Astyanax mexicanus: one gene and its partner. Each later gene encodes a partner of the first gene's protein in a complex. Links are inferred from orthologs where the notes say so. Each region holds a gene or a part of one and is shown on either strand. Other genes may lie near its edges.

The links.
Region 2: snrpg (region 1) and sf3b5 share a complex: the UniProt entries of both Homo sapiens proteins name them as parts of the minor spliceosome. The link is inferred for Astyanax mexicanus from reciprocal best matches to the Homo sapiens genes SNRPG and SF3B5.

Annotation. Positions count from the first base shown.
Region 1 is NC_064420.1:6,264,267-6,272,364, forward strand, and holds the start of snrpg (small nuclear ribonucleoprotein G), read left to right. Parts: upstream 1-5,048; 5' UTR 5,049-5,603; coding exon 5,604-5,635; intron 5,636-6,676; coding exon 6,677-6,699; intron 6,700-7,690; coding exon 7,691-7,815; intron 7,816-8,098. Other genes in the region: si:ch211-148l7.4 (oocyte zinc finger protein XlCOF6), read left to right, coding at 1-1,414. UniProt on the Homo sapiens protein: Plays a role in pre-mRNA splicing as a core component of the spliceosomal U1, U2, U4 and U5 small nuclear ribonucleoproteins (snRNPs), the building blocks of the spliceosome.
Region 2 is NC_064414.1:43,717,243-43,724,406, forward strand, and holds the start of sf3b5 (splicing factor 3B subunit 5), read left to right. Parts: upstream 1-4,088; 5' UTR 4,089-4,291; intron 4,292-7,164. UniProt on the Homo sapiens protein: Component of the 17S U2 SnRNP complex of the spliceosome, a large ribonucleoprotein complex that removes introns from transcribed pre-mRNAs.

The sequences.
Region 1 (8,098 bases):
CAGCAGCCCATCCATCAGTAAAGCCAGCGGCAAGGATCATATTCACGCCTCAGACATGTCCAGCGTGGCCTGCAGTCAGCAGCAGCAGCAAAAAGAGCGCACACTGCGTAAGCCACACCACTGCCAGCACTGTGGCCAGAAGTTCTCTCTGGCTTCTACCCTTCAGATGCACAGATGTCATAAGAGCTCTTCAACATGCCAGGTGTGTAGAGGGAAGCTGCAGAAGGGCACTACATGCTCCTCCTGTCCGGCTAAGGTCTCCAGCCTTCGTAGTTCAAAGCAGCAGCCTTACCATTTTAACCATAGACGTAACAAACATGACGGCAATCCCTATGCCTGCGCCCCGTGTGGAAAAGCCTTCAGCCACAAGCAGGAGCTGCTGTACCACCAGCAGGGTGCAGGGTGTCAGCCAGCCCCTTCTACTGTGACTCACATGTCTACAGATGACACACCCACTCCCTCCTATGCTTCAATTCCACCATCGACTTCAGGGATCAATCACAAGCCAGTAACTTGTCCTTCATGCCATAAAACATTCCGCACTGCCCAGGGTCTAAGTTGCCATCAGCGCATTTATCACCAAAACAGTGTAAAAAAGAACAAAAAGAAGGTGACGCAGCATGTCCAAGGTTCTAAAGGCACGTTATTTGCATGTCGATCATGTGACAAGGTTTTCCCTCAGACCTCTATGCTGTACCGGCACAGGAAAGAGGAGCACCGGCGAAAGACTTCCACAAAGAGACAGCAGAGGAGCCACAGGAAGCGACGGCAAAGCAGGCAAAGAGGCGAGACGTACCCGTGCCTGCACTGTGGCAAAGTGTTCCTGCACCATCTCACCCGCTGGGCACACTTCAAGAGCTACAGCAGCCACTATCAGACCCACCTTTCAAACAGCGCCAAATCAGACAAAACTCAAAAAGCCAGCGAAACCTCCAAAGACCTCAAAACAACCAAAGGATCTAAACTAACCTCCAGAGCCTCAAAGAAGTCTAAACCTGTTGATAAGAAGACAAACAAACATGTGAAAAAGTGCTTTGTTTCAAAAAACAGAAGGCAGGAGATCGCAGACAAGGAAGATGCTCGTACTCAGGATAAGGATGAAGATGAGGATGAAGACGAAGATGAAGACGGAGAGTTCCCTTGCCCATCGTGTGAAGAGGTCTTTACGACCAAGTCTGCCCTGCTACACCATGAAGACATCCACCAGTCCACACACACCCCAAACCACTGCAGCGTGTGTACTGGTGGGATTGCTTTACCTCAGATTGCAGGGTCTTCTGTGAATAGAGTCTATCACTGTGTGCCATGTAAGGAGGCATATGTGGACCTGGATACTTTTCTGCAGCACTGCCAAACACACTTTTATTGCAGCAATGATGATGAGAAAGATGATGATGCCCAACTTAGTGATTGAAAAGGCACAAAGTAACATCTAGTCAGAATTAAGGCCCTTTCACACAGAGTACATATTTTTGGATACACATGGAGCTCACATATGCAAATGTGCAAACAGGGCTCATACTCCACAGCTCTTTCTAGCTCTTTCAGATAAATGTCTACTCTTTCTGTTTCACTCACAAGTTCTCATTAGCAAGGGAAGCTGTTGTTCTTTAATGAGGGAAGCTATAGCTCATTAACTAGGGAAGCTGTAGTTTATTACCAAGCATTAGCATCACATATTTCCATTATCTTCTGCCTTTTCATAATTAGCACATTGATCAGAGTATAAAATCAACAGACCTTATATCTGATAGGTCTGCCTGATTTTAACACATCTGACAATGCAGAAATTCCACAACTGTCATATATGTAAACCTTTCTTCTGTTTCTCTGCTCTCTGTCCACTTCTGCTCTCTTCTTCTCCACATAAGTAATCATTATTAAGGGAACATCTAACTCATTAGTGTGGGAAGCTATAGTATAGTAGTGAGGCTAGCTATGCTTCGTTAGTCCAAACATATTGGACTCAGTGTGAAAGGGCTTTTACACCCAGAATACTTGAGTTGTCTTGTTTTTTCCTTTGACATTAAGTTTCGAACAGTTTGTGTTATGTTAAGAGATTGCCAAACAACATTTCTAAATGATGAATGATGAATGTATGCTTTTTTGCTGTGATTTACCAAAGCCACTCATGTTCACTGAATACACAGGCTGAATGTAAAAACTGTACACTGTCGAATAACATGAACGATTTCTTTCTGCTGTTGATAGTTGTTGAATTTGATTAACATAGTTCTGTTGGTGTGGTACTACTAAATTTGAGGATTTTATTGTAGGAGCAATGACTGTATAAAAGCATGGACAGGGCAACATTTGTGAAATATGAAGTCATCATAGGTCTAACACCTCCAGAGATATGGTGCAGCGTAGATCCATCCATCCCTGTACGTTTCAATGACAGAAACAGCCGCGCCAAGGTCTTCCATTAAATTTTCCTCCTCTAAAGACTTTTAGTAGCTGTAGTATCTTCGCTTTGTCTCAGTAGTCAACAGAATGAAACTGAGCTAAGCTCTGGTGCTGTAATGGAAATTGTTTGGTAATAAAATACAAAAGCTTCCCGTTTACCACTGGAATACTACACTTACTGTTTAAACTGGGGTTCTACAAAACCCTTTTTGCTTTTTGTTCTTTAGTCTGTGCTGTGATCTCAATGAAGGCAGTCTGAGATACTTGAGTAGGCGAGTTTGGTCCCACCCCTTGACTCTGGTTGCAAGTTTGACACAATGGAGGATGCTCTTGTCATTATTTATGTAGAATGGAAGGGAATAGCACCACAGTGTCTGTTTTTCTACAGTCATTGTGTAGGACTGCATTTTTTTTTTATCCTTTTCGATTGACAACTTTTTCGTGGTTGATTATATGCTTTTTTATAGCTTTTGTTAGCGATGATCTGTATTTCTGTTTAATAGTTATATCCTGTACATATATAGAACACACGCAAACCTGAAATGTCTTTCACATTGCCGATTTTACCTCTGTGCCTTACCATGCACATCTTAAGTAGTGCCTTGTTTCAGCATGTTCAAGTGCTGTTACAGTGTAGGGCGTTTTCACGCCAAGGTTGGTGTGTTTCTTACATTGTATTCTGTCCATTTAGTTATGTTAGTTGTCTTTCCCGGAGTTGTGCTAAATGCTGCCCCCACTATAAATTGACTTTCTTTCGAGTGCAGGCATGCCATATAGGAGAATGGTTGTAAGAGATTCCCCTCATATTCCATTTATTTCTGTTTATAAAAAAGGGTTAATCTACAGTTATGATACAGGCATCACCAGCATAATCTGTTGTACCCATACTGCGGCATGACATGTCTGGACAAGAAGTCAGATTTTGGCACAACACTTCTTCAATACTTCTTCTTCTGTTGTTTATTGGGTGACGATAGTTTGACTCAACTACCTGTAATTGGTCTGAATGAACTGGACCATGGGTCAGTTGAGCCAGACTAAGTCCACTGCTATTATTTGGGCCAAGTTTAGGTCCTGTGTTCTGGACAGTGGTTTACAGCATCTTTGCAGCAACCTTATGCAGTTAAATTATTGTGGAAAGCATTATATTCCTAAACTCTTCATTTATCATGTTTTCATATCATCGTGAACCCTGAAATTATGGGCAAAAAGAAACTGAATACCTCTTTATATTTACTGCTGTGTCTCATGATGTGATTTTTTTTTTTGGGGTGGATTTGTCCACAGGGATTACGTTACATAAGTATTGTTTGGTTTTGGCTTTTTTTTTTCATTCATTTTTGTTATGGCTGGAGCCAAAAATGTAACATTAATGTACCAAATGTTTGGTTTTCTGTGTATTCTTTTTCCTCATGATAATATAAAACTACAAAAATATATTTCTGAGTAGACCAATAAGTTTCTCTCTCTTTTTTCAGCTTGATTATCCTGGCTGTATTTAACATTACATCTTTAATATAATTTTGTACTTTAGTGTACATAAATACTTTTGTACATTTAGTGTATTTAAAATAGGAATGGAAATTCGGAGTTTACGTCACAATGACCAGGTTTGGGTGGTGATAGACCAAAATACTCTAATCCATTTTTTTTTACATCATTTAACATTACTTTTAAAATTCTGCACAAAAACACTGATTCTTTTTACATAAGGGTGGGACTTTATTCATAAACAGGCGCCATGGTTAGCGTTACAATAAATCCTATTCATATAGTGGTCAGTGGCCTGTCTCCTCATTAATAAGGTCTCTGGTTTTATCGCATAAACCAACTGGAAAAAGGAAGCTCTTTAAGTGTGAGTGGCTATATCTGTTACATTTTGTGCTGATTTTTATTTTATTTTGTTTTACTACAGCTTAAATGATTGACATTTAATATTATTTTTTAAATTTAGTGTTAATACATGCATTATTATTAGCATTGCTATTTCTCATTATCAATATTATTAGATTTTGTGCAAGACCTTTTATAATATTGCAGTAACTTGAAAACAGCATTTTCTATGGTCGGTTTCAGCAAAGGTGCTGTAATTTTTTATTTATTTTTTTGTCACAGTATCTGGTAAGTACAGCTATTTAACAAGTGTGACAGTACATTTGTATTTTGAAAGGTTTGCAAGGAAGACTTTTTGAAGGCTTCAGTAAATTATAAAAGTAGCTGTAGACAGGGGTGTTCCTGTTCTTGAGATGTTTCCAGGGCCTCCCACCCTCATGGCTACAGCATGATTAGATACTTTTTCCCATTGGCAACATGATAACGTCAGATTTCATTGACTTTGTTTAGTCCTTCCAGTATAGATTGTTTGTGTGTTCAGTGTCTGACCATTTTTTTTCAGTAACAAGTAATCTTAAATCATTACAATTTCCAGTCCACTGTTTTATTTTTTTTCTTTCCTTTTTTAAAAAGATATTATAGCATCTGGCTGGATGTGGTGAAAGGATAAATGAGAAAGACGTTTACAGTCAATGCTTTATTGCTGAAACAGTCAGCTGCAACCACACCAAAATAACAACAGGCTAGCGAGCTAACTAGCTAACAGGCTAAAAATAGCACTCGGGCTGAACACACACACACCCTGCGCCCTCTCCACCTCACACACACAGCGAGCCTTCTTTTCTATCCACCCCACACACACACACAGCGAGCCGCCCCCCCCCCCCCCCTTATGCTCTCCCCAATCACACGCTTGTCTTATACCTTAAACACAACAGTTTATTTTTAACAGTCAGTAAATTTTACTACCTATGCAACAGTCTGACCTAAAAGCTTCACACGTCTTAAATTAAAGCTCCACGCACTTAAAATTAAAGCTTTGCGTGGCTACAATTAAACCAGCCTTAGTTTTAGCTGCACAGAGGTTAATTTTTAGCTGTGTAAAGCTATTCATTTCCTGGTTTTACCCCAAAAGTATTTTAATACAGTTTCTAAAGTCCTGGGTTTTCTGCTTCTGTGGGTGAGGCAGTGTGTGGTAATAGCGGCGCCGCTGCAGCAGGGGGCGGTACAGGCCGCAGCCGAAGTCCGGGAGAAGCGTCACCTCCGCTGTGAGGCGCGTGTTTCAGTGTTTTAGCGCAGTTCCGACGCTCATCTCTCCGCCGTTGCTGCTTCTGCTGCTTCTGAACATCCCGCGCTGATTAAACATGAGTAAAGCTCATCCTCCAGAGCTGAAGAAGTGAGTACTAACAGGCGGAATTAGCGCTAGCTGGGATATATCATATATATTTATTTTCAGCATTGGGTTTCTGTAGCTGTGTATTGTAATTAGCGGTCATTTAGCCTGAAGCTAATAGATAAGCTAACCAACCCCGGTAGCAGAGGCTGAGTGTAAACCCCAGTAAAACCATTTGAACTAAAAGATCGGACAATAGAAACACCGCAGCTCTTTACATCCTACTCTAATTAATCTCATACAGTTTAATTAAAGCTTAGATTCGGACCCAATAAACCTAATTAGCTTCAACATACAGCAGAGAACATTGAATTAACGTTTGAATGGATGGAGCTGTTCTACACTCCCAGACACACTACAACCTGTATGAATAGAACACAAACAAATATACAGTACCAGTCAAAAGTTTACAAACATCTCTTCTCATTCAATGGGATTTTTCTTGTTTTTATAATTTTTACATTTTACATTTACTATTGAAGACATTAAAGCTATACAGGAACACACGCAGAATGATTCTGTAAACAAAAAATGTGTTAAATAAAACAGAATATGTGTGCTACTTTAGATTCTTCTAAGTATCACATTTATCTTTGAGGACAGATCTGCATACTCTTTGTATTTTAATCTCAGTGTTTTCATAAGGGAGGAGAATCACCTGGAATAGTTTTTTCAGCGCCTTGAAGCACTTCCTAGAGGTGCTAAACAATAGTTGCTGCTTTTACTGTTTACTATGTGATCCTATATGTGTCCCTTGATTGTTTTCATGGCTTTAGTATTAATCTACAATGTAGAAGATAATCAAAATAAAGATAAACATTGGGAATGATTGTGTCCAAACATTTGACTGGTATTGTACCCATGTATTTAATGTTAATAAATTTCAATACAAACATTAAGTATAACACTATCATTGAATCAACGTAAAACTGAAAAATCAGTTCTGATATCGGTCAGTATTGTTTGAGGGCATCAGAGGTTAAAAATGTTGATTCAGCATAAATGCGCTGTCTGTTATTAAACTCTTTGTTTTCCTTTTTGTAGGTTTATGGACAAGAAGCTGTCATGTGAGTGTCATTTAAGTCACGTTTTTCATTGTTAGGCTGAATCTGAAATTATATATATATATATATATATATATATATATACTTAAATAGATAAAATCCCATTTCTTCTCCACTACACCAAATGTGGAAAAAAATAAATAAATAAAAGTTTTTACACTTTTACGTTTTCAGTTTTTGAATTTAGCCTCAAGCCAGCAGTGTGGGTACAACAGATTACATAAAATAAAGGAATCTGAATGTAATCCTGGAAAAGCAACTTGTAGAACTGACCACAGTCTACAAAACTATCTGTGTAAAGTATAGGGGATAACAGCCCATGTTTGTGATTGTTGTGAATGTTCTTATTATCAAAGACAAAGTTCTTTAGTGTGTTCAGTCACTAAACTGCGTTGTGAAACTAATCAAGACTAACTGGACTAAATGTGCACAGTGTAACAGACAAACCTTGGTGAGGACTCTGAAATGATTGGAACAGTCCATATATTTAAGTTCTTTCACATTTGTCTGCAACTGGTCAGAAAATTAAACTGAAAAACCTTACCCTGACCCACAACAATTGCATTTACCATCCTCAGTAACAAGATTTATTCGTAGGTCAGTCTGGATGCACATATTTTAAACTGTAAAGAGTAACACTATCGTTGCTTATACCACATTCTTTCTATGCATGACCTGAAATCTCCACTTAACCTGCCCCTGTGCCCAAGTTACCATTGTGATGTTTCTAGGTAGAAAATAATCTAATGTTAGGAGACATAATATAGGTTGCATCCAACTAACTTTGATGTGTTTTGTTATTAAGCATATTACATTAATTATTACATTGCTTGTCTAAAGCAGATTTTTATATTGGAAGGATAGTGTTGCCCATACTGCACTGATGTTTTGTATCTTCTGTACACATGATCTATTTACACTATTTTTTAGAATGTTGTATTACTTTTATACATTTTTATAAATATTTCCCTCTTTTCTCTCTTTTCTTGTTTAGTAAAGCTTAATGGTGGTCGGCATGTCCAAGGTATCCTCAGAGGATTTGACCCCTTTATGAATCTGGTGGTGGATGACTGCTTAGAAATGTCCCCAGGGGGACAACAGAACACCATTGGCATGGTGGTAAGTAATCTCTGTCTCGAACACTCTATCTGCTTCTGTTTGCACAACTTGTAAAATCAGGATATCTGTAAATACTTAGTCTTAAAAGGCCTTAAATTTGTTTATCCAAAAAAACAAATCCTTAAATAATTTTCCCAAACGGGTTAAGACGCACTAAATACAATGTTTGTTTTATTTCTCCATTTCACAATTTCCAGATGTGATATTGCAAGTTCACATTTTATTTAAAGCTGTCTAATATGCACTTAGTAGAAATGAATTATTGCTTAGTGATTGGTTCTCT
Region 2 (7,164 bases), on another chromosome or scaffold:
GGAATTATGGCTTTCTGTGGCGCTAATGAAATGCATTCTTTCATTTCCTCTAAATTGCATTAATGAGAGAGGAAAGCCATTCAGATGAAAAATGTCCCTGAAAATGGCTCCTTTTTGATACTCATTCCTCTTGGAACTGTTTCCTCTATCTCTCTGTCTCACACAGTGAAGGCTCCTATGCTTGTCATTAGTGTAATAGGCATCACGTTTATTTTTGCCGGTGTTTTATTAAGTTTAATAAATGGCTTTTCTTATGAGAGGAATCTTAACAACATGTTGTGCATGTAAACATCCCTCTTCACTAGAAGAATGAAAGCAGGATTGGCGAAAGACAGGCAGACTCATCTCATCAGGATGGAAATCAGATTTGCCCTCAGACATTACGCCCCCAAAGACAAGACAACACTTGATGAGCTGTAACTGCTGTGCCTAATAGATAAACCCAGTGGGCCCATCAGGCTGAGGCCTGTTTCAGACAACCCTGCAGATGGAGGTTCGGTTTAGTGTTGAGGCAGTAAAACACACCAGATAAAACAGATATAATGATGTATTGTTCTGATTATACACTATATGTCAATCCTCTATTGCATGATATTTTTCTTTGTTGGTAGGTTTTGTTGATCTCTCTTGATATATCAATCAGAGCATTTAGGAACCGCTGATTTAGTGTAACGGCCTTGGTTGTGGTTGAGCAGCGTATTGTTGCCCTGAGGCAGCAAATAAAAAAACACTGTTTTTAATGAGTAAATGAAAACAAATTAGCCATAAATATGAAAAAGAATGATTAAAAAACTGAACGAACAGTGTAATAATCCAAAAAATTATAATCCAAAAAATAATCCAAACATCCAAAAAACATGCCATAGAGGGATAATATAAAATATTGCAACCCTAGCTCATGCATTGTTTCTCCTGAAATCAGGCGTATTAAAACAGTTTATCCTGCTTTTGTTGGACTAACTGTCTCTGCTGTCCAGGAAAGTATTTCTACTAGATTTGTATGTAGCACTGCTGTGAGGTTTTGGTTGCATTAAGCAACTCATTGCAAAAGTATTGGATTAATCCAGAGATTCCCAAACACAATTCCACTGCTCAATAGCTCAATGCTGGTAGCTTTATAATCCTACACTATTTAAACTAAAGTACTTCAACTGAATGCATTTATTAGAAGAGGTGTCCACAAACACACTGAGGTCATGCCAAAGTTCATGAGACAGGAATGAATATTCTGTCCCATTATTATTTTGAAAGCTAAAGAATGCTGCACTGGCCTGTGAGAAATGTGTGTGGGGTCTACTGCACTGAATGTGGATGTGATTTCTTCCACTTTTCTCTTCACATGGACACTGACAAGGTAACACCTCGCAACTATTACAATTATGGAAGGTCCCAAGCTGTCCACTGAAGTAGCACTACTTATCAATGTATATACTGCTATCCCATGACTCATGTCACAGTATTTGGCCATATACTGTATATTTAATGAGGTTAAAATAAGTCCCCCAGCATATACACATCTAAAGCTTTCATCTGTTAGAGAGCAGATGAAATCAAAAACAACAACAGTTGTTTGTGTCTGTACTTCATCTGTGAGAAGATGAAAGGATGGAGGTGGAGGTGAACAAGCTGTATGTGAGAAAATTAAAAAGAAAAAAATATATAAAGAAAAAGAACATTTGATTAAATCAAACTGTTAAAGCTGTTCTCAGAACAATGCGTCCAGACCTCAGTGACCTGAATGTGAGAAGCTGAGCTGCAGAAAATGCTCCATTTAAAACATTTAAAACTAAACATACAGTGTAAGGTGGGTCTAAAAAGTAAAAACTGTAATGAAGGTAAGGATGGACTTTTTATAGTAAAACATCTAATATTATGTTTTCATTTTGAGGCTTTTGTGTATTTCCATTAAACGTATGTGATAAATATTTTCTGCTTGTTAATAAAGCAGCAAAAACATCTCCTTGATGTCAGTCTTGACTGAAACTGAATTAAATATAGAGAAGTCTCCAGCTTTGACTATTTCAGCATTTTTAGGTTTAAAGGTACTCCTGCAGAGACTGATAAAATACAGGGCCAATCTGATTCAGACAATAAAGTCTGAGGTAAACAAATGTGGCCGGAATTCATCCATGGCAAAGAGCCACGGTTTGCTTTGTGCCAGCAGCTAAACAAAGTAAAAACCCAGTGAGCACATTTATAACCTCACTCTTCAGCCTGAAGTGCAGAGAAAACAAAACGATAAAAGGATATAGTGCAGTGTACGCTGTGTTACACACACTGTTTTCACTATATTTGTTTAAATGTAGGTAAAAAATACTAACATTCAGCCCATTTTGCCTCCTTAGTTACCCCTAGAATATATACATTATTAAATAATATAATATTATTAACTCCTCTCAGTCTGTTCTCTGCTATTTTCATAATAACTCTGAAGTTGCTTTACTTACTTGATATGTATCAAACATGATGTCACAAACTCTCATTTTAAACAAAAACACAAGAACTATAAGTGTCTATAACATGTGCTCCATTGTTGTTGCAAAATCTGTTACAAATAACAAGAGCTTACTGAACCACATTGCAGCTCAATGTACTTTTCACAATAAAGGAAATCTTGTAGATTGTGTAGATATGAATAAAAATGCAGTTAATAATATAATATAATATAATATAATATAATATAATATAATATAATATAATACTGTATATAGCAATATGTAAGCTCTCTATCTTACATATCCTGTAGTAATAGTGCATATACAGCACCATTCAAAAGTGTGCACAAACCTTTTCTCATTTAATGTGTTTTCTTCCTTTTTTATGATATTTTTACATTCATTTTAAATTTAATATTGAATACTATATTAAAGCTTTACAGGAGCACATGCAGAATTATTTAGTAAAAAGAAGTTTAACAAACCAGAATATGTTTTATACTTTAGATTATTTTAAGTGCCACACTCTTGGTATTTAAATTTCAGTGTCTTTATGAGGTGCTGAAAAATAATTGCTGCTTTATTTTTTTTCTTTCACACGTTTTTTACCCATCTCAGCTGATCAGGTTTAGGTCAGGGGATTGTGGAGAACAAACACTTTTTTTGTTTACTACATAAATTCATATGTGTTCCTTAATTGTTTTAATGTCTTTAACATTAATCTACATTGTAGAAGATAAATAAATAAATAAATGCATCCTGTATTTTGTTTTATATTGTTTACTTTTTATGTATAAAAAAATATTACATGTATACAGTACAAAAGTAAAGTTGGGTTTATGTCAGGGGATTTTATGCCACTTTTTTTTGTTTACTACCTAATTCCATATGTGTCTCTTGATTGTTTTTATGTCTTTAATATTAATCTACATTGTAGAAAATGAATAAACAAAAAAAATAAATAAATAAAAACATTGAATAAGAAGGCGTGTCCTGACTTTTGACTGTATTCTGTATTTTATGTTTTATATTGTGTACGTTTCATGTAAGCTACAACAAATATTACAGTTATTAAGTACAAAACTAAACATAACAAGTCAAGTCAAGTCAAGTAGTTTTATTGTCAATACTGCATATGTACAGGACATACAGAGAATTGAAATTACGTTACTCTCCTTCCCAATTTTACAGCAAGTACAGATAATAGATAAAATAAAAGAAAGAATGGGAGACACTATGTGTACAATACAGCAGGGACACAAATAGACATACATGAGACAAAAACAAGGTGCAGTGGTGTGGGGGAGGAATAGATATATAAATATAAGTAAATAAGTAAAAATAGATATATAATTATAATATAAAAGAGTGGGAGACACTATATGTTCAATACAGCAAGACACAATAAACATACGTAAGACAATAGTGCAATATTGATGGTGATCGAGATGGAATGACAGTAAAAATGGTAAATAACAGTAGTGCAAATACTAAATAATACATGTAATTGTTCATCTTTTTTTGCCTATTTACATTTTGTAAGCAGTGAGTTTAGCTGTAATATGTACAGTAGCTTAATATGTGTTGAATATTTAATCTGTTTGTAGAAACTATAATATAGCGGATTGTTTATGCAGTGGGAGGAGACACGGGGAGAGCGGCGGAACTGTCGGAGGGTGATCTGTGTTGCACCTCGGCGCGTTTTAAGAGTTACTGGTTCCTCCCCGCACTGCTTCATTTCGTAGCTTTCGCTTCATCTCTAAACAGCTCTGAAACTTTAGAGATAAAGGCGAAACATCTACTTTTAACGGAAGAACTGTGAGATAAGACAACACAGCGGTTATTTCTGCAACCAGGTATGATTTTAATCTCCTGTTTTAAATGTTATGTCGTTAAATAGACCGTGTTTAGCCGCTGAGCTAATGCTAAGCTGAGATAATGGAGAGCTCGGCGCTGCCGCAGTGTATATTGTGAGTCAGAGTTTCTTAGGATATTTAGCTATTAGGAGTTTAGGTATAAAATATAGATTTATTACTCTGCTGCTGCTGCTGAGCGGATTTATTGCGACCGCATCCAGAGTTTAACTGACCAAAAGAAGAATAAGGGCATCTGGGCAATGGACTTCATTTGCTTTCTTATTTTGGTTATTATTCATACGTTAAAGTTAATGTTTTTTTGTTTTTTTTTTAAGAATATTTACAAAGTTATTGTGAATTTATTTAGGCCAAAACTTACTCTACGAAAGCTGTAAAATATTAATTACTATTCTTATTATAAAGTAATACGCTGTGATCTCTCTGTAATTTTACAATCATTTACTAACACCTATTTTTGCTGTTAACTTGCTGTAAAGACTGGCAAGAAACGCATATACAGCCTCTATTGTAGGGGTGGGCGATATGGCCCTAAAATAATATCACGATATTTCATGGTATTTTCGCGATAACGATGCTCTTGGCGATATGACGAAATACTGAATAAAAATTCATGATTCAAATGATGTCAAGAACTACTACACTAGTGCACGAAAATGAATATTATTTATTTTATTGCATGTGATATGATATGGCACACCATTAACTGAGATTTTAAAAAATACCAAAAATTACTCCAGAATCCAAAATTAATCCAGAATGTCATTGTACTAATAATGTGTTCTACATATCTCCATATGTCCAGGATTAAAGTAAAATAAATGATACTGGACAGATATAATCTGTCTCTAGTAGATATAAAATGGAAATGAGAACAGTGTGATTTTTTTTCTTTTGCTAAAAACAGCATAAAAGTTGTACCTTGATGTGATAATTGGGGGTGGGTGATATGGCACGATATTTCAGGGTATAATATCGCTCACAATATCGAAAAATTGTGGCGGTATTATTGCGTACGATACGATATGGCACACCCCTACTCTATTGAATTGGAGTAACCAAAATAAACAAAGCCTAAAGGTAATTTTATTCAGTGTAACGTTTAACAGTTCAGTTTTGAGTCTGACCGTTTGAGTCTAAATTTGTAAGTAGAAAATTGGAGGTAAAACTTTTTTATAGCCCTGTCAGGATACGATTTTCTTTGTGAACCATATGTGGTCCCAAAAATGTTTGTGATAAACAATTTTATCATTTTAAGACCATTATACATATATACACTGTCATACATGTGTACAAACAATAATGTTTTTTGTAATGTTTATTGTATTGATAAGTTGATAATTTAATTTATCGTGATAGGCAAATGTTACAATCCAACTGAATTTTGTTACAAATTGAAAAAAAGAGGGAAATTTAACTACATGTAACTTCATAAACACAACCATTCACTACTCAACTCAAGTTCTTGAACAAATACTTTGCTCTTGCAAAGATTGACAATTAGGTCCTTAAACTTGATATACAGGGGAAACTGAGAGTTTAAATAATAATGATAGGATGTATAAAATATAAATACCAAACCATATATAATAGATCATATAAACCAAGATAATATAAAATAAATAAGATATGAAATAAAGCAAATTAAAGATAAACAATGTATGTTTAAGTCTTTGCATTTATAAATTAAGAAAAATTACCCAGCATTAAACATCTTGTGACCCCCTCAAGCAGCAATTACTTCAACCCAACGTTTCTAGTAATTGGTGATAAATCCTGCAGAAGGGGTTGGAGGCATGTTTACTCTTTGCTGGTTTAACATTGCGAAAGGTGCTGTATGATGATTCATTACCAGGTTTGATTGGTATCTGTGATTGGCCTACTGCTATTGTTCTCGAGAACACTTGTTCTCAGTCCAACTCTAATGGCAGTCTGCTCTTGTCCTTTAAGAGGAAAAGCAGTACCCAACCATTAAGCTGCTACTCCCGTTCTTTAGTGATGGCATTGGGTTCTTTTGTTGGACTACATTGTTCAGTTTTCCCCAAGCAAAACACTTCGTTCATTTCATCCAAAAGGTTCTATTTAGGATTCTACACAACACTATAGAACACAAAGAAAACACATATAATATGTATGGTCATTTTAATAATGGACTGTAATGGTCTGCAGCACAGGGCGTCTGTGAGCTGATGTTCCGGAACCGAGAAGCTGCGCTGTCCTCCGAGCGCGCTGGCTGCTCGGCAATGCTGCATCAGCAGCAGCTCGAAAAGAAGCAGACTCATGGTGTATTCATTACTAATGATAGGGGGAGTCCTAATGAGTGGGTTGGGTAATTGGCCGTGTAAATTCGGAAGAAAATGAGGGGGAAAAAAAACCAATACTAAATGTATCCATGTTGTGTTTTAACAAAGCTGAAATTGCTTTAAAACAATACTGTTTGTTTTTTTGTACTGCAAACTGACTTCTCAAGTAAAAGCTAAATGCATTTAACTTTTAACATGTTTCAACATTACACACTTATATGTTTTGTTCATAGAATCATAGAAAAGTCTCCTTCATAGTGTGTTTAAATTTACAGTCACAAAATGATGTGCTACATGTGGATCAGTTTGGTAAAGACTGGAAAAAAGATAGTGGATGGTTAAATTTAGGACGTTTGTGCACTTAAGTGATGCTTAAGGGAGTTATTGTCATATTTCTTATCTCGGGAGGTGTTTGGCACCTGGCCCTGTGAAGGTTATGAAGTGTGCTGGACCAGCAGCCGCTTCAGGGGCGCTTTTTGTCTGGCTGCCCATTTTCCAGGTCATTTCTTCCATTTTGCTGCCTTGGAGTTATTAGTCTTTTTCAGTTTCAAT